7 linked regions of the Mus musculus genome follow. Each later gene encodes a partner of the first gene's protein in a complex. Links are inferred from orthologs where the notes say so. Each region holds a gene or a part of one and is shown on either strand. Other genes may lie near its edges. The genes, in order: F2, F2rl2, Serpina5, Thbd, Fga, Fgg and Serpinc1. A codon is read from its position in the direction of its gene.

Region 1 (3,500 bases):
AAAGGTTCAGTATGGGTGTGCGGGGCACCTGTAACCAGGAGGCTGAGGTGACACTGTTAACATTCCAAGACCAGCCTGTACTGTACATTGGTAGAGTGCTTGCCTAGCGTGCATGAAGCCATTCGGATCCCCAGTACCTCACAAACTGCATAAACTGGGCATGATGGCACGTGCCTGTAATCCCAGCCCTGGATGAGGATTGATTGGGAAAGGCAGAAGCATCATAAGTTCAAGGTTATCAGCTACAAGCCGGGCAGTGGTGGCGCACGCCTTTAATCCCAGCACTTGGGAGGCAGAGACAGGCGGATTTCTGAGTTCAAGGCCAGCCAGGGCTACACAGAGAAACCCTGCCTCGAAAAAACCAAAAAGGCTATCAACGACATAGTAGATTCAAGCCTAGGTTACACGAGACCATGTCTTTAAAAAAAAATCCACACAATACAGGGAAAGAGGGAGGGAGGGAGGGAGGAAGAAAGGGAGGGAGGGAAGTAGGAAGGAAGGATTGGCATCTTGAGTAGCATAAGCCCAAAGGAAAGATAAACACTAGAGCAAGATGCACACTCTCCTAAATACATAACTTTTAAAAACAAACATAACACAGGGAAAATAAGATGACAAATGAAACAATAATTACAAAATAATGAGTTACTAAAAATAAACTCCATACAATCACAGTCTTCATCACAATTAATTATTAACATACTAAACTACAAAGGGACCCTGAAATCCAAAATCTTAAGACTTAGTTGGGATTGAGATATAGTTTAGTGTTAGAGCAGTTGCCTAGTTCAAGGCCCTCTATTTAATCTGCAACACCACAGTAATAATAAAGTTGGGATTTGGGCTGGTGAGATGGCTCAGTGGTTAAGAGCACTGACTGTTCTTCCAAAGGTCCTTGAGTTCTGACTGCCCTGTAGCTTAAGAGAGTCCCCCTTGCCTCTGCCTTCGGAGAGATCTACGGTAACCCAGATGAGCCTCTAGTTCCACATGATGCTCCTGCCTCCACTCCCTGTGTGCTGATGTTACAGATGTTACCACTACACCTGGCCCTCTTCTCTCACCTCATTCCCCGTGGGATCACTGAGTTTACTGCTCTTCAAGCCCACAGGCCTCCCTGCTGTTCCTCAGGTCAACCAAGTGTTTGCCCACCTCAGCATCCCTGCACCTACATCTGTTCCCAAAGCCGGGTTTCGACCCTCCCTCTGTGTCTGATTCCTCATCCTCTTCCTCCCATCTCTGCCTAACCTGCTTGAGAAAAGGCCGATGCCAGCCCCTCTGACCACTGGCTTTAGTTGACTCGTCCCTTACAGTCTCCCTCACTCTGCTCTCTCCTCAGAGCTGTTATCAAGGACATGCATTCTAGATATGTTTATTGGCATAGCCCCCCTCTAGGAAGGCAGCTTTCTCAGGACCACCTATTTGAGTTCCTGCTGAGTACCCCTCCAAGTGCTGTCTAGGACACAATAGGCATTCAAGAAATGTATGCTAAGTGGCTAAATGAATGTTCTTTCTGTACCCAGGACTTCTGCTGGGCTAGATTCGTTGAGCAGATATTAATGATCACTGGCAAAACTCTCTCTCTCTCTCTCTCTCACTTGCTCTCTCACTTGCTCTCTCTCTCTCTCTCTCTCTCTCTCTCTCTCTCTCTCTCTCTCTCTCTCTCACACACACACACACACACACACACACACACACACCTCAGATCTCAACACCATGAAAACTTTTATGTTCTTTTTACCTTCAGAAAAGCTTCAGCCACTTACCTGGGGTCTTCTGACTTGTAAGTGCCCGGGCTTGTGCCTGTACCACATGCCTGCTAACCCCCATCCCAGCTGTTTCCCTAGCCCAAGACAGAAAGCCTTACCAGCACAGAACATGTTGTCAGTAATTCGAATCCGGGTGGAGGCCTTGCACACTGGCCGCTCTACAATGGGCAGGTTCACCACCTGCAGGACGCTGGGCTGTATCTCATTGATGTTGGTTGTCCATGTCTCCCGAAGGTTGCCCCAGCCTGTCACCCGCCCTTTATAACCAGCCCGGAGCAAGCTTTAGGGAGAGAGAAGGACCTGATGAGAATTGTCCCTGACAGCCTTCTAGAAAATGACTTTTGCATTTATACCATGGAACTGAACCCTGCAAATGATTGTCAGGCCCCAAGGTTCAGAGCCCAGGCCAAATCACAACTGAGACCCTAGTGCTGACCTGGTTACTGTCTGCTTGTCTGGCAAACACACGGGGTGAATATAGTCACTGAAGGGTACAGGTTTCTTTAGCTTGAGCAGAGCGATATCGCGGTCTAGGTTCTCCCGCCAGTTATATCTGGGGTGGACGTAGATCTTTTCCAGCATGGAGATCTTTTCAACATTCCGCTCATATCTGTGCAGACCCCAACAGAGAAGAACCACTCATGAGATCCTCAGCTAACTGAGCACGGTCACACACAGTCTTCTGAGTCATGTGGGCCCACAGAGATAGGCACATGCTACATGTACTGCTCCAATAGTCACAATTTAAAGAGACTTCCACCTGGACCATGTTCTCCTGTCTGGAGTGGGCCAGGGCCTGGCCATACGGGCTTGCCCAGTGAGGATGCTGAAAGCTCATACTTGTGGGTCCCATGTACCCCAGAGCCTCCAGAGCCCCCGATGAGCACTCAGAACCCAGCCAATCACCAGCAGGCATTTGCTTCATACCTGGTTCGGGAATGCTTGCCAATGCGCACCAGGAGGTCATTCTCAGTGAAGTTCTTGTCCCAGGGTGGGTACAGAATGCAGTGGGCAGCAGTGAGGACCCATCGGTCACTGATAAGGCTGGCCCCACACAGCAGCTCTTGGGGACTCTTCCGAAAAAGCATCACCTGCCTAACGGGAAGCAGAGTGCATTAGGAGCTGGAGCCCAGCCCCTAACAGCCTTGGAAATGGGAAAGGCTCTTAGATGAAGAGTACTGGGCTAGGATGGTGTCGCAAGCCTGTAATCCTTGCACTTGGGATGTGGAAGCAGGAGCATCAGAAGTTCGAAGTAAGCCTCTGCTATATAAGACCTCCCCTCGCCCCAAAAGTAAAGATGAAAGAAAGAAAGAAAGAAAGAAAGAAAGAAAGAAAGAAAGAAAGAAAGGAAGGAAGGAAGGAAGGAAGAAAGGAAGGAAGGAAGGAAGAAAAGGAAGAAAGACAGATAGTGGGACAGGGTTGCCTCCAGGGCTCAAATCTCGGATTGATTTGGCTGCCGTAGAAGACCAGAGCTCTATCAGGGTAGACCGTATAGTTTAGCACAGCTCTAGATCAGAATTGGATACAGTCCTGACTATGCAGCGTGCCTGAGGATGAGTCACGTAAGCTCGCTTGGCCTCATCTCTGACAATTACTCGGCAGACATGGCAAAGCTGGCTGAGGTAGCTCTGGGGGAAATTAGAGAGTGGGTGCTAGCGTCATCTGTGGAGCCAGGTCCTGCAGCGGCCGTGGGTGGGGCAGGCCTGTAGATCAGTCCAGGACGCACCAGGGGGC
Region 2 (4,210 bases), on another chromosome or scaffold:
ACCCGTCTCCTCGCCACCACATGTTGGTAATTAAACTGCTTTACCACTGAGCCACACTGCCCCCTCCCCCTTGTGCACAGAATTTGCAAAGGGATGGCTACCAGGGTAGATAGAATAACATTTCACTCGACCCAAGGTTCCATGTGCCGGCTCCTAGAACCCATGATGTGTTATCCCATGGGGAAAGGGGTTATTTAGTTAGGAATCAGGAGATGGGAGCAGAATCCTAGATTGGCCATGTGGTCAAAATGGAATGACTGGATGTGGCATTCCCAAAAGCCAAGAGCAATTGTGAAGTGTGACTTTCTTAGTCTTCACAGTGGCTGTAGTTTAACTTGGGGAGTAGAGAGAGGGCCGATAGAGAAATATGGGAAGAAGCCAAACAAGATGGGCTTAAGGGAAATGCCAGGTTTAAGACAACGAGAAAAGAAACAAAAGATGAACTCACTGTGATAACCTGAGGCATTAAAATGATTTTGTTTTGTTGGTTTTTTAAGATAGGGTTTCTCTGTGTAATTTCCCTAGCTGTACTAGAGCTCATCCTATAGAACAGGATGGCCTTGAACTCATAGAGATCCGCCTGCTTCTGCCTCCCTAGTGCTAGGATTGAAGGCATGCACCACCACCACCACCCAGCAAAATGAATTTTTTAAATGAAAGAAACATATCAGCTATGTGTTTTAGATGCTTGGCACAGCTCAGCCAGTTCCCGTTAATCAATTCTTCAAATGCCAATAGAAGCCTTTTACATTCCCATTCGAAAAGCTAGTGCCCTCCCACTGAGGTCTGGACACAAAACTCCTGCATCCCCCATTTTAACTCTTCCAGGGTGATGTTCAGTAGACTGACCCATGTTCTCTTTCTGATTTTTATCTCTGGCCCTTGCTCTCCCAGACTTGGGAGTTTGCATAGGCTGAATTCAATGTAGCGGGCAGAATCGGTGTTGTCCGAACAACTGGTAAGTGAAGGTGACGCTGTGTCCTCCAGGGAAAGACTACTTTGGAAGGTAGCATTCCATGTGCCTGAGTTTAGATGCGAGCATTATTGGAATGTCCTGTTACGTCTGAGCTCAGCCACTTAAATCCTTCTGCACGTGCACATTTGGGTAAAGCCAAGTCTGATATCACTCAAAACAACACCTGTAAAGGAAGCTGGCAGAACCATGTATACAAATTTCTTCCCTCCAAGGTCTGATGAGAAAGCTGATGAAACCAAGCACTAGTCAGCTTTCAGGAGAGTCCTGTGCTTGGGCAAGATACGTGTCTACAAACACACAGAAAGGAGACTGCTCCCCGAATATTTCAGATCGGGCACCCCCTAGATCTTCTATTCGTTAGAAACTGTCTTTCCTTCAGAATCGTGCTCCTTGTTCAATGTTATTTATAAAACGACACGCAACTGACTAGGATTTTTTTTTTTGGTTTCCATTTGGTGCAGTGTTTCTGAAATGCTCCCCGCCTGGGAGAAGGCTTCAGAGAGTCTAATCCAAAGAGAATGGCCCTCAGCCACACACACCCCACCTCACATCTCTCCAAGGCAGACTTCGAACCCACTGTCCCACCTCTCCTTAAGTCTCACTTCTCAGTCTCCCAAGCAGGCTAGCATCAGGAAGGAACTCCCTCTCATAACTCATTTCCTTGCAACCATGGCTCAGCTTTGTGGCTTCTCCTCTCAGAGAAACCATAAACCTAGCCAACCCGTGCTTGTACCGCCCCTGCCATGGGTCCCCTTAAGCAGGGAACTCAATTTAAGGATCGTTCCTTTTGCAGACGGCTGCCTTTTGTTTAAGTTGGTTTCTTCCCAGTTCCTCCTCCTAATTGATTGCCCTGTGGCCTGACAGAGTCCTGCATACAATCCTGTCTCAAAGTAGTTCATTTCAGAACAATGAGGAAGTTATATAAGCTACCACAATAGAAGACATGTTCAAAGTGAAATAATTATATTTGGGAAAGCTTATTTCTAAAATTATACATAACCAAATTATGCCTAAACATCGTATACAGACATATCCGTATAGACATATATACACACAGACATATATACATATATATGTGAGGGACAGAGAGAACTCCTTGGTTCTGAAACATTAAGAAAAGACGGTATTTCACCTTGGAAACACGTCACATCCCTGATTAATGTCACTGGCTGCTGAAACCAAATTACTTTTCCTGGCAGTATTTTTTTTCCCACCGGTGCCTCAACAGAAATTATAATATTTAGAAATTTGAAAAGATTTTTTTAATGCCTTGAAAAAGTGCAATCTTTTCTACATCTGAACATTGTACACATACAAACACTTCTCACGCCAAAAAAAAAGTGGTTTTTGACTTAATCATAAAGTCTTGACTCTGTCACAAATGTAGAGACACTACTAGTAGAGAAGAACGCTTGGTCTTTGACAAGGTTTGACTTGGGAACAAGCTTGAATATTTCCACGCTATATTACCCCAGGCTAAAACCAGATCAAATTGTGTCTTTGGGTTCACAGTTTCTAGGAGTTAACAAGAAAATTAGGGCATTTGACTCTGACAGCAGAAACCATCCACTCACCACTCTCTCACCCCCATGCTAGACCACAAGAAGGGGACTTACCACTTTGGCAAACAGTGACTGGCAGAAACAGCAGCCCAGCTGCAACCAAGATAAGGATTTTCATCTTGATGTCCTGAGACCCGGTTACAGGATGTTGTTAAGTATACAAAGTCACAGCGTAGATTCCCCTCAGCTCCATGTATGAGCAGCAAGTGGAAAGCTGAGAACTCTGCCAGCCTGGACTGTGTGGGCAGGGACTCGTCCTTGCCTCTACAGAGAAAGGATGTGGCCACTTGATGTTTCTGTCTGTGTGCATGACTCAGGCTGAGCCTCTCTGGAGGAGTTGCCATATCCCTTTTATCTCTTCCTCACCCCCTCCATTATTTCATTTAGAACCAGTGCTGTAGTTCTCCCAGGGGCTTGGAATAATGGCAGAGACTGCAGAGTCCCTTGCAAAACAAAGCTGAGAACAGGTGCTGGGAAGCAATTAGCTTTGAATCAATTCCACTGCCCCGGTTCTATTCCCTATGCCAAAACCCTAGCTCCAGAGTTACGCCTTCTATTTAACACAAGAACAGTCAGACATTACACTCCTGTGTAACAGTCAGACATTCACTCCGCCATGGTCAGAACGGCCTCTTCTTACCGTAAATGGGAACAAACACAGAGTTCCATGGTGTGTAGAGCGTGAGAGGCTTTGGAGCGCACAGGCCTACATGCAATGTCTTCATCAAGCCCCTCCCCTCAAGGCTCAGGGATCTATGCGGAAGAGAAGGCAAAAAGATTGTTAAGAGCCAAAAGGGATCGATAGCTCCATGGAAACAGTGTCTTCCGGATAAATCAGGACTGGTGCACATATGAACTCACAGAGAAGGCAGCATGCACAAGGCCTGCACAGGTTCAAGCCAAGGAGGGTCCCAGAGCTGAGAGGGGAAGGGGACTGGGGCTCCCACCACTAACCCAGAAAGTTCTGCAGTTGATACCCACTGGCAAAGGAAAGAGTGGTTTCCTCCAATGGAATCTCCTGGATGCCCTAGGCACATGTCAAGGTAGGCCCTACACCCAGGAGTGGTTGGCTAACACAAAGAAAATTCAGTGGGATTTTTGCAGACTTTTCATCTCCTACTGCTTTGTTTGTTTGTTTGTTTGTTTGTTTGTTTGTTTTTTCTTTTTTTTCTGCCTTAATGGTCTTTTTGTTTGTATATTTGGGTTTCCATTTTGTTATGCTTTTGTGGGCTTTGGTGTATGCATTTCTTGTTTCTGTTTTTATTATTTGTTTAAATATAGACAGAAAGGGTATGGCGTTAGGGAGGTAGGAAGGATCTGGAAGTTGAGGAGAGGGAAAAGCGATCAAAATATAACATGAAATTTCTTTTTCAAAAATCAAAATGAAATTGTGCTTTATTTCAAATTTTAGTTCCTAAACTGATCACATAGTTATAAACTGAATTAATCATGAGAAGCGAATACACCCTCCCTCCTCCATCTTTTATTTTGTTATTTTGTTCTTTGAGACAGAGTTTCATATAGTCTGGCTTGCCTTGAACTCAGGATGCAGTTGAGCTCCTGGGCCACCTCCTGCTGCCTCTGGGCTGCTGGGATCTGTGGAGCTGGACACTAAACCCAGGGCTTCTAGGACTCTATCAACAGAGTTACATCCTCAGGCCTGGCAAATATT
Region 3 (4,148 bases), on another chromosome or scaffold:
TCTGAAATCAGGTGCTCAGGAGCTTCTAGACTCACCTCAGACAACTTGATATTGGTATGGTCAGTAATGCCAGACAAGTCAGCATGGGTGGTGAAGACGTCCTGGATGCCCAGCTTGGGGAGGACATTTTCCAGTTTGTAGGTAGCCTCAATGGAGAACTTGGGGAGGTAAAGATCTAAGCGTCTGGAGAGAGTACAGAAGGTCATTCTTAGACACCATGAGCTTGCTGCTGCCACTCTCTGCTGCAGCGTCACTGACTTTCTGGAACCTTCCTCTTTGGAGTCTCCCTTGCTTTGTACTTTACTTGAGCTTCCCTCTCTGGTGTCACCCTAGAACCTCAGCTATCCCTCAAGCTGGGTCATGTCCTGGACTGAAGACTTGATGGGTAACATTTAAGTTTGGAGCTAGCTCACTGCCTGAGGAGTCCTTTCCAGTAGTACTGTGAGGTCTTCCTGACATGGGTAGAAGGATGTGGCCCCCAGATGGCCTAGAGAGTACCTTTTGGTGAACATCTTAAGCCAGTTCCTCAATGTTCTCTCATCCAGGCCATCCTCCACCTGCTTCATCTTGCCCTCGCTGGGGAGAATAAATAGAGCGATGGCATTGCCTTGATAAGGGATCCCCACCACCGTGCAGGAGATGTTTTGGTCCAGGTAGTAGGAATACCCATCTTCACGGTTCATCATGGGCACCTGTGTGGTCCTTTTGGGGGTCACATGGAAATCCATCTTGTGGGTGTTTGTCTCACTGAAGGCCGTCTGCCACTTGGCTAAAGATGAAGGAGAAGGAATTAAAGAGAACTGAGTAAAAATGGGAGACCCTTGGCTGTGGCTGTAGAAAGGAGACAATCCAAAGAGTGTCTCTACAGAGCAACCTCAACAACAGCAGCACCCACACCCCTTGGCCCCAGAGGCCAAATCCCCTCAAAGTTCTGGGTAGCCTGAACCTTTTATGGGCCTGTCCTCCTTTCCTCCTGGTTTGAATGAGAATGGCCCCCACAGGCTCATATGTTTGGATGCTTGGTCCCTGGTTGGTTGAGTTGTTGTGGGAAGGATTAGGAGGTGAGGCACTTATTGGTACGACATTGAGAAGGCTTGGAGGTTTCAAACACTCTCACCAGTTTCCTGCCTCTCTGCTGAGTGTTTGTGGATCAGATGTAAGCTCTCAGTTATTGCTCCAGCAGCACACCTGTCTGCCTGCTACCGTGCTTCCTACTGAGATGGTCATAGACTCTGAAACTATAAGCCAATCCTAATAACGTGATTATTTTTTCTTCAATAATATGTCCTGGCCATGGTGTCTTGGCAGGGCAACAGACATTTGCTTTCAGTAGCCTCTGACCCCTCCTGTTTCCTGCCTTCTTAGCCCTGATCAGATCCATATCCTGTTTCTAGTGGGTTTGACAGTCAGGGTTGTTTTGTCATGATGTCTATGACAAAGACCAGCTCCTGACTGTGGAATCACTGACAGGCTGATAAGCAGGTTCTGTCTCCCATGAGGCAGCTTTCCTTCTACCCAGCTGGCACTTGGGTGGCTTGTTCTTTTATCAGGGAGGGAATGCTATCTTTTAATAAAAACAGAAAAGAGGAAAAAGTTCAAGTTGGAGCCCAAGGCTTACCTTTGAAGAAGATGTAATTTACCACTATCATGACATGGGTGCTGTCAAGATCCTTGATAAAGTCTACAATCTTGCCCTTGGTCTGCTTGGCTACATAGTTGTTGATCTGCTTCTTGGCGATTTCAGGGTTCCCAAAGTTGGTAGAGAAAGTGTCTGACATGTACAGTGTCTTCATGGCACTCAGGAAGTCGTCCCGGATATGTACTGCTGGGTCTTTAAAAAGGGCACTGCCCAGGCTCAGCTGCAGGCCATCACTAGGCTGCCTGAATCTCTGTAGCAGCTGTTGGAAGCCCTTGTGGAGCTTGTCTTCTTGGCCTTGCTGGAGGCTGAGGCCTAGGCCATCTAGGATCTGGGTCTTCGTCTTCAAGCCAGCCCCCAGGGAGAGCATGCCCAAACTCATAGACACGCTCAAGGGGGAGAAGAAGACATTCTGACCAGGGGATTCAGAAACCAAGGCCCTGTAGAGTCTGAAAGCAAAGTCTTTGCTACTGGGAGGTCCCACAGCACCCACCGAGGACTCTTTAGCCTTCTTCTTCTTGGAATGGGAGTGTCGGCGGGAAGCCACCCCATGGCTGATGAACAGCACCAGGCACAGAATGGGGAAGAACCTCATTGTGGTGACAGCTCTGGAGGGGAGAAGAGAAAAATGTTCTTGGAGAGGGAACAGTTGTGAGTCAAAGTGAGAGACACAATGAGTAGGCTGACATCTGCAAAGATGTCCCCATGTCCCCTCCAAGAGGGTAAGAAGGAAACTAGACCATGAGGCTGTAAAGAGAAGCAGTGGTACTCAGTGCTCTGGGACGATCAGATGAAGCAGGCAACTAACTGCTCAAGGTAGACTTACAGACCGGTATGCAATGGAGTTAAAACAAAATCAAAATCAAAAACAAAAAACAAAACATTTTTTCCTCATAATATTTTAAGTAAGTTTAGGATTTTGCATTATGCCTCATTCGCAGGGTTCCTTGGCTTCAGCTATGTTACACCCACACACATCCATAATGCCACAGGTCCTACCCCAGCAGGTGTACTCACTCTGTATCGTGGTGGCTGAGTGTCAAGGTATAGTCCACCTGGCTTACAAGAGGACAGAGAGCAGAGCAGAGGAATTGCAGCCGGCAAATGTCACTGACCGCAGAGACTCTGTCTCCACCCCACTCCAGCTCTGCTTCATTGGGAGCTGGGTTGATCTAAGATTTTCGTAGGGTCCCCGATAAAAGGACAGAATAAATGTACTTCTGTTTCTTTGTCTAAGAATGTGCTTGGCAATGCCAGCCAGAGCCCGAGGCTGGAGCCTTGAACTTGTTAAGGTTTCTATTCCTGGGACTTAGCTTTTTCCCCTGAAGAGACTGGTGTCATCAATTCCAAGGCTGCCGTGTGCTCAGTCTGGAATGTTCTTGAGATATCATGTTTTCCTTGCGCAACATTGTTTGATTAGCTTCCCTCTGGCTTTGTCCCATTGTGTGGCAGTTTCTGCTGACTCTGTCTCATCTCTTACCTGGACTTGGTATATAAGATACTGTACTTTTAAAAGAAGCTTGCTTGGTATAAGATCCAGCATGTGAAAGCTGGACTTCCTGATCCCTAACTGTATCTTCTCTAGCTTATGGCCTCCTGATCCCACCTCCCCCCTCGGCATTGTTACAAAAAAAAAATGACTGTATGGTCCAAGTCAAGTAGTGACTAAACAGGGACGCCTGAATATGAGAAAAAGAGTAAATATGGCCATAACACATAGAGAAATTTAAAAATTAAAAAGTATCCCCAGAGAGACCACCTGAAGAAAGGGGTAGAAACTTCAAGAGTGAAACAAAAGATAGTAAAGTTGTCTTCTTAACATAATATTGCTATTGGTTATTTGGGAATTTGACAATGTATCCCATTACCCTTACTTCCCAGCCCCCCAGGCCCGCTCCCCACCTCTTGTGCACCACTGCCCCCAAAGATAGAAAAAACAAGTCCAGTTTGTGTTGTCCATATACTCGCCAGAACATGGTCAAACTCCTGCTGGCCAGCTCCTTAAAGATGAGTGAGTCTGTCCACCTCCACAACCACCAGGAACCAGCTATCATGGAGAGCTAAACTTCAGCATCCTTACCCTAACAAACAGCCTGCTTGGTTTTGCTAGATTTCTCCCCAGTACAGGATAGGTATAGGGGTTGTGGGGTGAGGGCCTATGTGGTGTGTGTGTGTGTGTGTGTGTGTGTGTGTGTGTGTGTGTGTGTGCATGTTGAGGACACAGTCAAAACTCACAACAGTGGCTGCACAGATTTCAGAACCCAGGTTCAGACTACAAAGAGCCCAGTCTCCTAGGCACAACAGTCCATCATTGACCCGCCTTTGCCTGAGAGATAACTGCTCTGAAAACTCTTTCCCAACCAGTTTTACATTAAAAAACAAAAAGGAGGTTTATCTACATGACTATTAAAAGGTCTCATGATATTAAAAAAAATAGAAAACGTTATAAAAATAAAGTTATTTTACATGTTATTTAAAAAGTAAAAATAGCATAAAAAATAGCATAAGTTAT
Region 4 (3,965 bases), about 57 Mb from region 1:
ATAACACTGTAGAGCCTGCATAAAAATCTTAACAATAATGACCTCTTTTGTCATTCCCATTCAAAACAACAGCAACAATCATAAAACCCAGGCTCACCCTTTCAAAAACAAAGATTTCAAAAAAAAAAAAAACCCTACTTCCTTAAGTTTATTTTCTGTGACATTCCAGCACTATTGACTAGTTAGTGTTCAGCTGAAATATTTTAGCTTTTGTTAAAATTCTTTTGCTTTGGTTACCTGAAATTTCTGACTAAATACCCAAAGCCAGTGAAAAAGAACGTTTTCTGCTTTTAGTGTTTCTTTTCTGTTTCACATAAGAGTTTGGAAACAACGGTAAGGGCAAAGTTATGATCAGGTTTGGGGAGGAGAATGACAGGAGGGGGGGAATGGAGGGACTGAGAAAGCTGTGGGGGGCTGGAGACTTACAAGCAGAAGAAAACTGGAGGGAAGAAAATACTAAATACTTTAAAAAAAATAAATATCTGGGTCATCTCCAGCCCATGGGGTCAAGGTTTGCCTTCAAGCCTACAGATCAGCAGCACTAGGAGGTGAGGTGAGGGACTGGGGTACTCTGGGATCTCCGCTGTATTTGCCACCTCCGCCCAGTTGTCCAGTATCTACTTGGAAGAAACTGGGCTGTCCTGCTTCAAGTCCTCCCTACCCTCGCTTGTCCTGAGAGGATGGGCTCTTCTCTGGTTATTATACCAGCCAGGGTGCTTTTAAGTTGCCAGAGAACACAGCTGGGAGGCTGGAGAGAGAGAGAGGAGAGGAGAGGTACAGAGCCCGGAAAGACAAAGGCCACCTGGGTCTCTGGAGCAAATCCCTCAGAACTTCTGCAGCGTCCGATCAGTCCTGACGTGCTGCAGCACTACCTCCTTGGCGGAAGATGCGCACTTGTACTCCAGCTCTGCACGAGCAGCGCCCTGCTTCTTGCGCAGGTGACAGAGAAGCGCCAAAAGCGCCACCACCAGGGACAGGCTGGCAATGGAGATGCCAATGAGCACGCCAGAGTGCACTGGCCTTGCAGAAGGGGGACCTGTCGGAGAGCCTGGCGTAGGGCTGACTGGAGGCTCCCCAGAGCCCTCCTCTTCCTTGGTGTCTTCCCTAACAGGGATGGGGTCACAGTCTTTGCTAATCTGACCAGCAAGGGCTGTGTCAGGCCCGCAGATACACTCATAGGAGCCAGGGAAGTTTCGACATTCACTGGTGAAGCATTCGCCTTGACTGCACTCATCAATGTCCGTGCATACGGAACCCTCGTCCAGGATGAAGCCTTCAGGGCATTCACAAACAGTAGGAGAGTTAGGGTCACAGTCTGCTGGGCACGAAGTTTCATTGCAGAACATTTCGCACTTGTGCGGTTCATCCGGCTTGGGTGCGAAGCCTGGAGCGCAGATGCATCGGTAGTCGGTGGGGCTCACTGGCTGGCACTGAAACTCGCAGTTAGATCCGAAACACGGATCCAGAAGCTCCACGCACTCTCCATCCACCAACTCATAGCCATCATAGCAGAAGCATTCGAAGCCGCCCTTGGTGTTAACACAGAGCTGGGGACATGGATTGGGCCCCTGCTTACAGTCATCCACGTCCTCACACCGGTGTCCGTCTGCAGCCAACTGGTAGCCTGTCTCACACATACAGGAGTAAGAGCCTGGCACTTCAGCGTTGCTGACACAAAAATGCTCGCAGAGTTCGTTGCACGATTGAACCACAGGTCTTGCACACGAACGTCCATCGGCCTGCAGGTCCATGTCTCTGGGGCAGAGGCATCTGGGTTCATTCGTGCTCCTATTGCACAAGTACTCACAGCCACCATTCTCCACGCTGCAATTCCAGGCTCCTGTCGCTTCCCAAGCCCAGTGTCCCTCTGAAGTTCCGGGCGGGGCCCTGCACACCAGCTCCAAGCCAAGGGGCTCCACCGCGGCGGAACTGCCTACCGGCAGCGTTTGAAAGTCCGCACCACTGACCCCGAACGGGGTGTTGTAGGTACTAGAGATGTGGGCAGCCTCAGGATCGCGAGTATTCACCGTCAGAGGCCTGCAGGAAGCTGTGAAGTAAAACTCACAGAGGAAACCCTGGGTCTCAGTCTCGCATGGCTTCTCTTCCCAGGCCGGCTCGCCGGGTGCAGCTTCAGTTGCTGTCGAGACCGTGACGCACAGAGGGCCGCAGAGTGGAGCCGTCTGGTCGTTGGGCCGCGCCCACCTGCTGTAACTGGTGTGGTTATCGCCAGTAACCCACTGGAAGCCGCGCAGGGGCCCGAGATGCACCGGGTCGTCACAGCCCTGCGGGAGCTGTAAACCGATCCAGGGCCCTAAATCCATACTGCTCTGGCTCAGCAGAAGGGAGATGACATCGGCAGCCACTGAGGAGCGCACTGTCATCAAATGTCCTTGCAGGCGCTGGCAGGCCTGGCTGGCATCGAGGAAGGTCGCGGGGCCCTGGAAAAGCGCGAAGCACTCATGCTCCACGCATTGACTGCCTGTGGGCTGCAGCTTGGCTAGTGCGGAGAGCCCCAGGCTAGCTGGAGCCAGCACACCCAGAAAGAAAATCCCAAGCATGCTGTCCAGGGGTGCACCGTGCAAGTTCCGAGAAAAGCTAGCCCTGCGCTGGTGCAGACACCCAGTCCAGGCAGAGGGGTTTCCGTATGCCTGCGGCGACAGCAGCTAGCCTCTATCACAACCTAGACGTTTCTAGCCCAGGCTCCTAGTCCCTGCGAGGCAGCCTCTAACATGCCACTCCGCTGAAGCTCCAGTTTATAAATGCGCGGCCCTCCCTCTTTGCACGTTCGGGAAAAGGAAGGAAGTGCCTGGTGGGAAGGGCTGATGCTGCGTTCTCGGATTACTGGGTTCTCCGGACGCCTTGCGCCCGCCCTCCAGCCTGGGATCACCTCTGCGCGATGAGTTAAAAAGTCTGTCTGGGCGTTGGGAGGCCCTCGGGCGTGGCCTGCAGGCGCCACCACAGAACAGAACTGTGTCAGCAAGACGACAGTTCCTGCCCCAGACTCTCCGGTATAGCCCGCGGGTAGCCTGTGTTTAAACCTCTACACACGTACACACACTCAGACGCGAACACACACACACTCACACTCACACTTCCACATAGATGCTACCAAAGTTTGGAAGATGGTCCGGTTGGTGGGGCAGGGAAAAGAAAAGTCCAGTAGAGGTGTGTCTGAGACTTGCAAGACTCTGAAAAAGGTGAGCTAAATGCAAGGCAGGAACTCAGGAAGCCTGGCTGCATTGACAATCGGAGGTTTAGGTCCCAAATGACCTTGGAGGAGGCCAGGGGAAACAATACTAGGGCAGCAAGAGGAGAGAGTGGTCTAATAACCCCAAACCCTTCTCCAGTCTCCATTCCTCTCCTGTTCTGAGCAGGCATCTCCAAGGCCAGACCCTATCTAGTTGCTTGAGAACATCGTGCAAGTTTTGTCTGGGCTCAGAGATCATGGCCCCCTTTCCCAGTTCAATTCCTGCAGAATCCTCTGGGGAAGGTGTGTTGCGTTCCTTTGTTCTGGTTTGTTTTGTTTTCCTCCAAGCCTATCTCAGACCCCTCAATGAAACTGGCCCCGGGGTGGGGAGGGGGGGAGGGGGCTTTGCAAGGAGACTGTATGAGCTACAATAGAGCCTACTTGGTTCCTTTTGACGTGATCATTTCCATCGTCATTTGAGAGTCTCAAAAGATAGAGGTGCCTACACAATCCGTTTGCTCACAAAGGGCATTGAAGAGGAGTGTCTTGTGGGCAGCTGGGAGGGGAGGAAGGGAATCTGTCACTTAAGACTTTTAGATGCTAAGCACTCACCAAGAATGTGGAGGGCTGTGTTCAAATCAAAGCTTAGCCACCTCCTCCCCACCTCTCTCATCTGCCTATTCCCCAAGCGTGCGCGTCATCACACACACACACACACACACACACACACACACACACACACACCAAGAGGACCCTGCACTCCGTGGCAGTCACTTCC
Region 5 (4,171 bases), on another chromosome or scaffold:
AACAGGCCATAGGTGAATTCTCAAATGAAGGTCTGCTTAGTCTTGCATGATGCTCTGGGAATTGTGTAGTCCCACTACTCAGGCATCCCATATGTTTATCCCACCAGAGACCCGATGTAACTAGACAATGTCCTTCGATTGGTTTCCTTTCCATTTTTTCTAGCTATGTTACTGTTAGATGATCTCTGGTGGGGAGGTGTCTCTAGGACCCATTGAATATATATATGTAGAGAGAGAGAGAGAGGGAGAGAGAGAGAGAACAGCATAAGGAAGGTTCCTTGTTCACCGTGTGCTCGCCTTACCCAGTCATCATCAGAGCAGAAGGGCCAGTCTGAGTCCTTGCATTGACTCTGATGTCTCTCCACAACTCTTGGGCCACGTACTCCTCCTCCTTCTGATAGGAATTCACCTTTATCTTCGGTATCTGTAGTCTTTAAGGGTTTTCAAAACATTCAAAAATGAGCGGAGGCAACAATGTTAGCCAGAAGAGACTTTGTCATGCTCACTAGCCCCAAGGGAGAAATGGCAGACATTAGGAGCCAGTACTGCTGGCTTCCACAGGCTGCCAGTTTCTTACAGTCAAAAGGAAATTCTACTTATTTCACGGAGTCATTATGAGAAGCAAAGGAGACAAAGGGTGTGAATTTGTAAGACTGTATTTGATGCTAGGTTAGCATCTGCTAGATGGTAAGGGTTTTAAAAGAAAAATGATCTGGATTGAAAGCATCTGTGAAATTTCACCTTTATCCTTTCTTTCGTGACCTCAGATGAGAAGATAGCTGAAACATTCTAGGTTTTTTTTTTTTTCCCTCCCTGAAGTCCTCTTTCTGAATGTAAAAACCTATGCCCTGTTGCACCCATGCTCCTTTCTCCTTCAGGTTTCTATGGTAACCCTTGGAGATGGTCCATGATCCAGACAAACAGTTATCAAGTACACAAATGTGGGAAGTGAAAACTTGGCAATGTTTTGTAGTACAATCATGCAATTGTAGATTTTCATTTGAAATGAAAATAATAAACAGTTGAAGCAGTAGTCAGCAACCAGCAATTTTTGGAACACCTTATAATTAGAAACCTAGAGCTAAAAGTTCTCAGCTATAACCCAAATGAAATACAAAACATTTTGTCCCATAAGACTTCCTAGTCTAACGGGTCGAGATGGCTTCGAGGCGTTCATCGCCTCCGCTCTGCACTGCCAACTTACAAGGGACTTCCTGTCACTATGTTAGTTTGGGGTAGTTTTTCCTTATAATTAATCAACATGGTCTCATTCTCATTTGTGAAAATTCAAATAATCCTAATTACCATAATTAAAGCAGCGAAGAACAACTCATTTAAAAGAACGAGTCCTTTTGTATAAGAAATATAATGGTAAATTCAATTGTATGAGTAAAATAGCACAACAATGAAGCAGACAGAAAGTGCACATAATAATGAGACAAGGAAGACAATAGAAGTACAAATTACCCAGAAATATCGCCTCAGCTGGTTATTTTAGTTTAATTCCCTCCAAAATGTATTGTTCTTTACTCTCTGATATCAAGATTTTTGAATGGTGAGCCAAAAAACCCACCACCACCACCACCACCACCACCACCACCACCACCACAAAAAACACCTGAAATAATATACAGCCTGGGTAACTAATTAGGATGTCACTAGGTCCTTGGTCATAGTTGACATGTTTTATAAACTAGAATGTGTCAGAAACTCCAGTAATTTAGATTTCTTTCTTTTGTTTTTCTTTGGGGCTTAATTTGGGGAATGATGTCAGTATTTAGAAGTTATCTGAAAAGAACACGAATCCTTCCAAAGAGCCCACTGCCTCATAACTAATGTCTTCGGAATTTGCTATACGTTTTCAAAGGCAATTAATTTGCCCTCTTCCTTTTATGTCTTCAAAAGGATATGAAAAGTTCCTCTTAGGGCTGCGGGTGTAGAACGCTTGCTTGGTCAGTACAGAGAAAGCTCTGCTTCATTCCTCAACATGACAACATTACAAAACTAAAATATTACAAATAAAACAAAGACTAGAGGTAAACCATACTAAACCCCAAACCTTCTGCTCATTACAGACAAATGTCTGGAATTACCAGCTGGAGAACAGTTCTTACCCAGTGTTTTGTTCTGTTAGAATGATGTCTCTGGAGTTTAAAGGGACAAACATGTGGAGGGATTCAGGAGGCTGGCAGTGTAGCTTAGTTGTAGAGAGCTTTACTGCCATGCCCAGGGGTTCTCAACCTGTGGGTCACGACTCCTTTGGCAAACCTCTATTTCCAAAAATATTTACGTTATGATTCATAAAAGTAATAAAATTAAGGTTAGGGAGTAGTAACTAAAAACAATTTTCTAGTTGCGGGTCATCACAACATGAGGAACTGCATCTAAGGGTTGCAGCATGAGGAATTCTATGCTGGATCAATCCCCAGCAACCGTGAGAGTATACTAACACACAGCTGCAGTTTTAAAGACTGCATCTGAATCAGCCTGAACGACAGATGTCAAGATCTCTCGTTATCCTAGGGCCTCCCTCTGGACATCACATTTCCCCATACACTTGTCAGGCTCATCTAAGAATTTGCCTCCCTGGCCTGGCATTTAAAAAGCTAAGTACAAAGGACTTGTAGACTCTGAACTCAGGGCTCCTTGCGGAAGAATTAACAGAGAGAAGAGAAAGCACATACCCAGACTGTGCTGGCCACGCTCAAGATGAGGCAGGTGACCCTCAGGGACAGCATGGTGTCTGCGTTTAGGGATGGCTCATGAGGAGAACTGGAGCTGAAGCGAAGGAGGACTGACTGCACTCACAGCTCCAACCCTACTTAAACCGGCAGGAGGTTAATCATCACCCTTGGCCCACTCAAGCAGCCAAAGCTCACAGTGTGTCCTGTGCTCTGACCATAATAACCAAGGTATCCCAGAAACTCTTGCTCAATTCTCTGTAGCTTGTTTGTTTCCGATAAGTTGTTGCAAATGGTAGCATTTGATTGTGCAGTCAGCAGTTGGGGGGTGGGGGGAATCTACATTCCAGGAAATGGGGGCCTTGGAAGCTGGGGAGATGAACACAGTTCACACCTGAAGGAAGTAAGAGAGCAGCCAGGGCACTCTGGCTATCACTTCTGTGGAGCAGAGACATTGGACTGTGTGTGGGATTCAGAGTTCATCTGAATTTCAGAATGACCTGAAAGCCTACAATAAGCTTATGTTAAACGGGTTGTTTTCCTCCAGCCAGAGGTCAAGACAGTAGCTGCTGGCGACCAATGCCAGCATCCACAGTCCTAGCTCCAGCTTCCTGGCTCTGAGCACTTATGAAGGTTAACTGTCCATCCTTGGGAATCAGTCTCCTCTCTTAAAGACCAGGGCAAAGGCAACATCCTACACATGTTAGTAAACAAATGGGTGAATTATTTCAAGGCCTCCCGAGGAGTGGTTGTCACCACGGCCTGGGAGGAAGTGCTGGCCATGATTGGAGAAGTACATGGAAAATGTACTGTACTTCCTGCCTTTGGGCTTGATCTCTCTTCATCTGCTCTTCATTTCCATGTACAATTCTTCTGGACTCAGTGAAACTTCTGTGTGACCCAACCACGCACCCACTAATATTCCCCCCCCCCCCAAAAAGCAACAGCTGGATTTTGAACAGAATATTCATTGTTCACAATTCCACACTATGGAAGCAGCCTCAGACAATGGATGAATGGATAAAGAAAAGGGGTGGATACAAGAGATTATTGTTCAGCCTGTGAAAAGAAGAAATTCACACATTTGGGGAAATGTACGGGAGCCTTGAGGATATCACACTAAGCGAACGATGTGACTTCACTTCCGTGTGAAACCTTTAATGTGCAACTCAAGAGACTGGGACACAGTAGTGGTTTCCTGGAGACGAGAAATGAGGGAAACAGAAAGGAAGAAAAAAGAGGAAAAGGGAAAGATAATCAAAGAAGGTGATGCATATACTAATGAGCTCAAAGGGGTGGTTATTTCACATCAAACATACAGCACTTTTACATATCAGTCACGGTTCAATAAAATGATTAAAAAAAACCCTTTGACTTAAGTGTGCTGTATTTAGTAATAAACACTGAGAATGAGCAGCCAAATCTGAATCTCAGACAGACAACCAATATATCTTAGTGTATGCATGTCTTCTGCCGTGTTTGGAGTATGC
Region 6 (2,417 bases), on another chromosome or scaffold:
GTCTTTTATTTTATCACTCTTCATTTGAAATCAGAATTGGATACCACTCATTATCCAACTGGCATTATCTTTAATAATAGTAAGCTTTTTGCCTACGGTGGTTACCTCCATAGGTCCCCCAACTCCTAGGAAGCATCAGGGTTTTGATATTGCACTGAAATTCTTATTATCTCAGCTGGAATTTGGGGCCATGGTGTCTCTTTTGGACCTACCATGTATATAATGTAGATGAACTAGCACACCATGCCTGTGCTTGTGGATGGATACATTACCCTGGCTCAGCTGTCTGTGAACTGTATGTCAGACACAGCAGTGGGCAGTGGATAGATGTCAGAAGAAATGACGTGAGAGGCACAAATTTAGTAATAAGAGTGAAAAGTCACGGAAGCCTGGGTGAAGGGTCTAGACCGGGGATTGCAGGTGCTTGTTTTAGCATGGCGGGGGTGATGGTTTCTGTAAGGCTGAAGGAGTTTAGAACACTGATTCCACTCATCACCTAGCAGTTCTGTATGGAGAGACTCCAGGGATACTAAAGGATCTTTTAAGAAGTTCTGGAATGTGATCCCCATCTATTGATGAGAAACTTCATGGTGAATGACTTTCTAGAGAAACTCCCTAAAGCCCTTGATAGCATTTTCCGTTAGCCAAACAATTATGTTGTCATGCGCTGTCAGACAAACTGATCAGGAATCTGTGGCTCCTATCACAAATTCATATACTCTAAGGGAGGTGGGCAGAGAGAGAGAGAGACAGAGAGAGACAGAGATGACAGACAGAGACAGACAGAGAGGTGTTCTAGCCCTGACAAAAAAATGGATAAATTTTAAGTATTGACATGATCACCAAAATTGCTTATTGGCTTTTGGAATCAATCTCTAGGGATGTTGTCAATTAGGAGGAAGTGCTGTAGACTTCACGGTAATTCGAATTGAACTTTAACCAGCTAAGGAAATGTAAAGGAAAAAACGACCCATGCATGTGCCTCTGGCTCCTTGCAGGTGGTACTTACTCAAAATCATCTACTACTAATGGTTTCGACGACGGCATTATTTGGGCGACCTGGAAAAGCCGCTGGTATTCTATGAAGGAAACCACCATGAAGATAATTCCCTTCAACAGACTCTCCATCGGAGAAGGACAGCAGCATCACATGGGGGGATCCAAACAGGTCAGCGTGGATCATGAAGTTGAAATTGAATACTGATCAATCATCTGCCTGGAAGTTTTTAAAATAGATATAAAAAATTAACTATTAACTCCTATTGGCCTGTACAGAGTTCCAATGATTTCCTCAATTTTTCTTTACTCTATTTATTAATTTTTGTCTTTCTTAACATGATACCTAGCCTTAAATGGAAATTAAAATCTATTTGAACCGTATTTCTAAATTACTTGAGTCAAAGTTATTAAGTATTGTTTATTCGAAGAGACAGTTTGTTTGACCTTTCCTCTAAACATTAAAAGTAAAACTACTGTTCTTTGTTTACTTTATAATCAGCTGTAATTATTGTTTTGTTTTATTATTTCTTGAGTATTTTTAGTATATACTAATAAAATAGGAGAAAATTATAGAACTTGACCTGTATATTTTTCTCATGTTATTTTATCTCGACATCATTAATATTTAATTCTTTTTTACGAAATAAAACAAGTTATATTTTTTAATATATCTTTTGTTTTATTATATATTCATAGGCTGGAGACGTTTAAAGAACATTTCAAAGCTGGTTTGCTTTTTTAAAGGACTTTATCCAAGCAGAGAACTATACTATTTTTCCTATGGGACAATGGACTTTCAGGACCTCACTTCATTTTCAGAGTTAATGGGATCCATGGTGCAAACTCCATTAGCAGTTTTATGCTGGCGATAATTTATCTACGTGCATTGCAATAAACATTTCGTTTCCTAAGATGAGACATTCCGTGGCTTTTTTGAAAACCCTTGGAAAAGCATTGCTTTCCCTCAATTACTGTTAGTTGCCGAGTTCACATGTTATGGCTACATAGTATCCAAGCCCAGGGGAGCTGGAGGGAAAGAAAAGACATGGCTCTTACCGTCCATGGTTCTTACCCTCCAAGGGGTATGAAACACTCAGAATGCAGCAGCTCAGGATGATGGATGCAACAAACTAATGTTCGCTATAAGAACATAAACACAAGTCACAGAGCCCCAAGCATATACCCAAGGCACATCATAGACTAAATACACACTGCTAGAGTAAGCTATTGGGAGATTCTTTGAGAGGAACCTTCAGCTCCAAGCTCCTGTAGCCAGTATATCACACAGAGCTGTTATTTAGAGCAGGGAACTGAGAGACAATCTGTTCGTCTCACGGGTGAGCCAGGAGGTGAGCAGAAGGAACCAATTACTTGTTCTAGGTGGGAGTTATTGAGATCTCGGGGCCTTGACTCAGCTA
Region 7 (3,500 bases), on another chromosome or scaffold:
GTACTCCAGTCTCTCGTCTTCAAGTGGAAAAGTCCATTCTCGTGAGGTGGCAGTCGTATTTATTTTTACTTCTATTCACAAACACCAAAGTAGGAAAAGGTGCAAAGATTAAGAATATTTTAGTTCACACAAGGATTAGCCACTCTCCCCATGAATATAATAGTGTTCAGTGCAACTTCCCTTATAAGAACCAGGAAGGGCCTGTTGGCCTTGAAGGTCACCCTATTGGGGTTCAGTGACCGGCCAGTAATCACGACAGAAGTACTCGCTGCTGCTTCACTGCCTTCCTCATTTACCTGCAGGTCACATAGGAAACAAATATTAGCTACCCTCCAGTCCACCCTAGGCACATAAATCACACCCAGACCCAGCGCTCACACTGCTGGTTTCTAGTAACTAACACCTGGACGCAAATGGTTCCCTCCAGAAACCTACTGTTCTTAACCTCCAGTGTGTACAATGCACTGGGCTCATCCAAAGCCTTGCAAGAATGCCACAAGTGTAATCCCTGAGCTAGAAGTCACATTCTGGTAGCATGGTTAAACATTGTCGAATGCAACAGTGCATTGTTTTAAACCAACTGCGAAGAGAAAACTCAGACTCAAACTTGGAGATCTGCACTTTAAATAGATTCACTCTCAAAGCATAAAGAAATCCCAGCTATCACTACCACCCCCCAAAAGCCACCAAGAACCTGTGGCTTATGAAAAGATAGTTCTCCAGTTAAGTGAGGTGGGTTTTTTGGAGTAATAACCAAAAAAAAAAAAAAAAAAAAAAAAAAAACTCAGCATTTGAACAATGGCACATCTGAAGGGATGCCTTCAGAAAATGACAACTGTTGACATACTGACCTGTCGGGGGTAGGATCTTGCTGTGCATTCTAGTACCGAGGCTAGCTTGCCATTTAAGATCCTGATTCCCGTGTGTGTGTGTGTGTGTGTGTGTGTGTGTGTACATGTGTACACCTTGCTAGCCTTTAATGTTCTGTATAGACCAGGCTGGCCTCTGTGTGTGTGTGTGTACACCTTGCTAGCCTTTAATGTTCTATATAGACAAGGCTGGCCTGGAACTTGTGGAAATTCTCCTGCCTTGGCCTCCTGTCCCTGACTATTAATAAAGTACTTGCAATCTCTGTGTTTTGAGGGGCTGGTTAATGTGGGTTTTTTTTTTTTTTTCCTTCCCTTTGGTGTCCCACATCTATTTCATGCTCATTCTGGGACTAAATTTAAGTGATGTGAAGTTGCAATTCAGCAAGTTCTCACCTCCTGTCCCTCACCTTCTGCTTCCTTAAGTTGCCACTAAGCTTGCTTGGATCCTAGAATTAGTTCTCTGGCACCATACTCTGGATATTTCTCTCTAATTGCAGCCTTTCTTTGCAAACCCAAGTCCTGTTAGCTTTGTCTATCGTTGGCCCTTCTGCTCACAGTCTTAGCTTCCACGAAGAACAGCCTACACCACTGGACCTCGAACCTACTTATAAAAATCTCCCAAGGATCTGTGTTAAGAAACAGATTCTCAACAAGTTTCAAGATGGCCAGGGCTACAGGAAGAAAACTTTTCTCAAAACACAAATCAACAAAAAGAAAAAAAATTCGCCGGGCAGCGGTGGTGCACGCTTTTAATCCCAGCACTCAGGAGGCAGAGGCAGGCAGATTTCTGAATTTGAGGCCAGCCTGGTCTACAAAGTGAGTTCCAGGACAGCCAGGGCTCTACAGAGAAACCCTGTCTCGAAAAAAACCAAAAAGAAAAAAGAAAAAAATTCCTAGATTCCATCCTTCAGCCTCCAGGGTTAAGGATCCCCACCTTTACGGTCCACACTTCAGTACCTAAGAACGAGAATTTCTACAACCTGTCACTACTTGGCTAACATACAATTCTATGTGCACCTTAGTTGGGGGAAGACAGGCTCATCAGTGCTCTACCCATTTCCTCCCTGGGACTTCTCAGTCTCAGCATACCACTGTGTGTAGTTAATCTCCCAAGAAGATCAACATGTGCCCACCTAACTGAGTTTCCTGAAATGCTATATATCAAGATTGTTCTAGAACGCCCTTGACGCTAAGGTGAGCCATACTCATTAGCAACCCCCTGTCTTATGTTCATTTGTTCTTCACCTTCTTCACTTACGCACGTGTCCCTCCCCATTCTGTCCAGAATCGGTTTCAGTCTTACTCCATGCTTTTCACATTCCTGAAACATCTCAGAATTCCCTCTCCATGGCCTTTGCCGGCTCCTTTGGCTCCTTTTCCTTGGGCTACCCTCTATGTCTCTCTAGCAGGAGAGAAGGCCAAACAGTCAAAGCTTGAGGGCTCCTTTGAAGTGCCATCCTGAGGCAGACCTCATGGCGGAGGCTACAAGCTTCTCCATATGTACATGATTTAGAGGGACCCTGCCGAGATGCCTCTGCCACAATCCTCTGCTGCTAATAGACCAGCTGTCTCCACCAGAAGAGCAGCAAGAAACTCCAGGAACACAGATTGATAAAATGCAAAAAAAAAAAAGGCAGCGGGTGGAGGGAACTGAACTCACCTCAAGAAATGCTTTGTGGAATGCGTCGGAGACATAGAGGTCGTCCCTGCCTCCAGCAACGATCCCTGGAAGAACAAGAAGGGGGGGCTGTGTCTTGAGAAGCAGGCTGCTGAGCCTCCCTAATAATACCCCTCACCCCCTCAATGGATACCTCTTAAAAACTGATTCATTTTGGCTTCTTTGACCTGGATCTTGTGAACTTAATCTGATGTCAACTTTTTTGAGAAGGTGGAAGGGTGGGACTCTCCTCTCAAAAACTTTACTATATCTAGCAAAAATATGTCTTTCCAGTATGGTAACGTTTTTAAGAGGTTTGGCTCTCAAAGCTAAAGATAGCCCAATAAAGAAAAATCTAATTACCTAAGTCTAAGTAATTTTTAGATAGGATCTTTGTGTAGCCTGAGCTGGCCTTAAACTGTCATCCTGCCCCAGCCTGGAGGGCTGAGATTACAATTGTGTGCCACTGAACCCAGCTCTGCGGGCCAATGAGATTGCTCATCGGGTAAGGGAATGTGCCACTAACCCTGACAACTTGAGTTAAATTAACTATTTATTTACTTACTTATTTTGTTTTTTTTCTTTTCTTTTTTTTTGTTTTTTGTTTGTTTGTTTGTTTTGTTTTTTGAGACAGGGTTTCTCTATATAGCTCTGGCTGTCCTGGAACCCACTTTGTAGACCAGGCTGACCTCGAACTCAGAAATCTGCCTGCCTCTGCCTCCCGAGTGCTGGGATTAAAGGCGTGTGCCACCACGCCTGGCTTATTTTGTTTTTTTTAAGACTGGGTTTCTCTGTGTAGCCTTGACTATCCAGAAACTTACTCTCTAAATCAAGCTGACCTTATGCCGGGCGTGGTGGTGCATACCTATAATCCCAGCGCTTGTGAGGCAGAGGCAGGCAGATTTCTGAGTTTGAGGCCAGTCTGGTCTACAGAGTGAGTTCTAGGACAGCCAGGGCTACACAGAGAAACCCTG

The links.
Region 2: the proteins of F2 (region 1) and F2rl2 are in contact, whole or in part, in a crystal structure (PDB 2PUX), measured with the Mus musculus proteins. Residues at the interface, in NP_034298.1 of Mus musculus: Phe379 (codon at 2,848), Gln384 (codon at 2,833), Glu385 (codon at 2,830), Leu386 (codon at 2,827), Leu420 (codon at 2,725), Arg422 (codon at 2,719), Arg428 (codon at 2,701), Thr429 (codon at 2,698), Arg430 (codon at 2,695), Tyr431 (codon at 2,375), Arg433 (codon at 2,369), Lys437 (codon at 2,357), Ile438 (codon at 2,354), Ser439 (codon at 2,351), Met440 (codon at 2,348), Lys467 (codon at 2,267), Pro470 (codon at 2,258); in NP_034300.3 of Mus musculus: Thr46, Phe47, Glu48, Glu49, Phe50, Pro51, Asp54, Ile55, Glu56.
Region 3: the proteins of F2 (region 1) and Serpina5 are in contact, whole or in part, in a crystal structure (PDB 3B9F), measured with the Homo sapiens proteins. The link is inferred for Mus musculus from reciprocal best matches to the Homo sapiens genes F2 and SERPINA5. Residues at the interface, in NP_000497.1 of Homo sapiens: Arg383, Pro386, Glu388, Leu389, Leu390, Cys391, His406, Cys407, Tyr410, Pro412, Trp413, Asp414, Lys415, Trp455, Glu457, Asn458, Leu459, Asn506, Arg541, Ile542, Asp562, Ala563, Cys564, Glu565, Gly566, Asp567, Val588, Ser589, Trp590, Gly591; in NP_000615.3 of Homo sapiens: Gln241, Lys295, Lys296, Arg297, Thr368, Ile369, Phe370, Thr371, Phe372, Arg373, Ser374, Ala375, Arg376, Leu377, Asn378.
Region 4: the proteins of F2 (region 1) and Thbd are in contact, whole or in part, in a crystal structure (PDB 1DX5), measured with the Homo sapiens proteins. The link is inferred for Mus musculus from reciprocal best matches to the Homo sapiens genes F2 and THBD. Residues at the interface, in NP_000497.1 of Homo sapiens: Phe382, Ser385, Pro386, Gln387, Leu423, Arg425, Thr432, Arg433, Tyr434, Arg436, Asn437, Glu439, Lys440, Ile441, Met443, Lys470; in NP_000352.1 of Homo sapiens: Ser424, Cys425, Glu426, Cys427, Tyr431, Ile432, Leu433, Asp434, Asp435, Thr440, Asp441, Ile442, Asp443, Glu446, Asn447, Gly449, Phe450, Asp479.
Region 5: the proteins of F2 (region 1) and Fga are in contact, whole or in part, in a crystal structure (PDB 2A45), measured with the Homo sapiens proteins. The link is inferred for Mus musculus from reciprocal best matches to the Homo sapiens genes F2 and FGA. Residues at the interface, in NP_000497.1 of Homo sapiens: Phe382, Lys384, Ser385, Gln387, Leu423, Arg425, Tyr434, Glu439, Lys440, Ile441, Ser442, Met443, Lys470; in NP_000499.1 of Homo sapiens: Trp52, Pro53, Phe54, Cys55, Ser56, Asp57, Glu58.
Region 6: the proteins of F2 (region 1) and Fgg are in contact, whole or in part, in a crystal structure (PDB 2HWL), measured with the Homo sapiens proteins. The link is inferred for Mus musculus from reciprocal best matches to the Homo sapiens genes F2 and FGG. Residues at the interface, in NP_000497.1 of Homo sapiens: His450, Pro451, Arg452, Arg461, Arg486, Ala489, Ala490, Leu493, Ile530, Val531, Glu532, Arg533, Cys536, Asp546, Asn547, Met548, Phe549, Cys550, His605, Phe607, Arg608, Leu609, Lys610, Lys611, Trp612, Lys615; in NP_068656.2 of Homo sapiens: Pro439, Ala440, Glu441, Thr442, Glu443, Tyr444, Asp445, Ser446, Leu447, Tyr448.
Region 7: the proteins of F2 (region 1) and Serpinc1 are in contact, whole or in part, in a crystal structure (PDB 1TB6), measured with the Homo sapiens proteins. The link is inferred for Mus musculus from reciprocal best matches to the Homo sapiens genes F2 and SERPINC1. Residues at the interface, in NP_000497.1 of Homo sapiens: Leu389, Leu390, Cys391, His406, Cys407, Tyr410, Pro412, Trp413, Asp414, Lys415, Trp455, Arg456, Glu457, Asn458, Leu459, Asn506, Thr510, Trp511, Thr512, Ala513, Asn514, Val515, Gln519, Arg541, Ile542, Asp562, Ala563, Cys564, Glu565, Gly566; in NP_000479.1 of Homo sapiens: Lys258, Glu264, Asn265, Arg267, Tyr285, Glu287, Gly288, Lys289, Glu345, Met347, His351, Ala419, Val420, Val421, Ile422, Ala423, Gly424, Arg425, Ser426, Leu427, Asn428, Pro429, Asn430, Arg431, Val432, Lys435.

What each region holds. Positions count from the first base shown.
Region 1 is NC_000068.7:91,626,458-91,629,957, forward strand, and holds part of F2 (prothrombin preproprotein), read right to left. Parts: coding exon 3,493-3,500; intron 2,862-3,492; coding exon 2,694-2,861; intron 2,377-2,693; coding exon 2,203-2,376; intron 2,047-2,202; coding exon 1,865-2,046; intron 1-1,864. UniProt on the Homo sapiens protein: Thrombin, which cleaves bonds after Arg and Lys, converts fibrinogen to fibrin and activates factors V, VII, VIII, XIII, and, in complex with thrombomodulin, protein C. Functions in blood homeostasis, inflammation and wound healing.
Region 2 is NC_000079.6:95,695,510-95,699,719, reverse strand, and holds the start of F2rl2 (proteinase-activated receptor 3 precursor), read right to left. Parts: upstream 2,801-4,210; 5' UTR 2,657-2,800; coding exon 2,593-2,656; intron 1-2,592. UniProt on the Homo sapiens protein: Receptor for activated thrombin coupled to G proteins that stimulate phosphoinositide hydrolysis.
Region 3 is NC_000078.6:104,099,765-104,103,912, reverse strand, and holds the start of Serpina5 (plasma serine protease inhibitor precursor), read right to left. Parts: upstream 2,801-4,148; 5' UTR 2,654-2,800; intron 2,245-2,653; 5' UTR 2,232-2,244; coding exon 1,619-2,231; intron 770-1,618; coding exon 499-769; intron 184-498; coding exon 36-183; intron 1-35. UniProt on the Homo sapiens protein: Heparin-dependent serine protease inhibitor acting in body fluids and secretions. Inactivates serine proteases by binding irreversibly to their serine activation site. Involved in the regulation of intravascular and extravascular proteolytic activities.
Region 4 is NC_000068.7:148,405,389-148,409,353, forward strand, and holds the start of Thbd (thrombomodulin precursor), read right to left. Parts: upstream 2,801-3,965; 5' UTR 2,559-2,800; coding exon 825-2,558; 3' UTR 1-824. UniProt on the Homo sapiens protein: Endothelial cell receptor that plays a critical role in regulating several physiological processes including hemostasis, coagulation, fibrinolysis, inflammation, and angiogenesis.
Region 5 is NC_000069.6:83,024,782-83,028,952, reverse strand, and holds the start of Fga (fibrinogen alpha chain isoform 1 preproprotein), read right to left. Parts: upstream 2,801-4,171; 5' UTR 2,739-2,800; coding exon 2,685-2,738; intron 432-2,684; coding exon 303-431; intron 1-302. UniProt on the Homo sapiens protein: Cleaved by the protease thrombin to yield monomers which, together with fibrinogen beta (FGB) and fibrinogen gamma (FGG), polymerize to form an insoluble fibrin matrix. Fibrin has a major function in hemostasis as one of the primary components of blood clots.
Region 6 is NC_000069.6:83,013,140-83,015,556, forward strand, and holds the end of Fgg (fibrinogen gamma chain isoform 1 precursor), read left to right. Parts: intron 1-998; coding exon 999-1,168; coding exon of another isoform or gene 1,169-1,204; exon of another isoform or gene 1,205-1,578; intron 1,579-1,695; coding exon 1,696-1,710; 3' UTR 1,711-1,917; downstream 1,918-2,417. UniProt on the Homo sapiens protein: Together with fibrinogen alpha (FGA) and fibrinogen beta (FGB), polymerizes to form an insoluble fibrin matrix. Has a major function in hemostasis as one of the primary components of blood clots.
Region 7 is NC_000067.6:160,999,083-161,002,582, reverse strand, and holds the end of Serpinc1 (antithrombin-III isoform 1 precursor), read right to left. Parts: intron 2,595-3,500; coding exon 2,530-2,594; intron 297-2,529; coding exon 120-296; 3' UTR 43-119; downstream 1-42. UniProt on the Homo sapiens protein: Most important serine protease inhibitor in plasma that regulates the blood coagulation cascade. AT-III inhibits thrombin, matriptase-3/TMPRSS7, as well as factors IXa, Xa and XIa. Its inhibitory activity is greatly enhanced in the presence of heparin.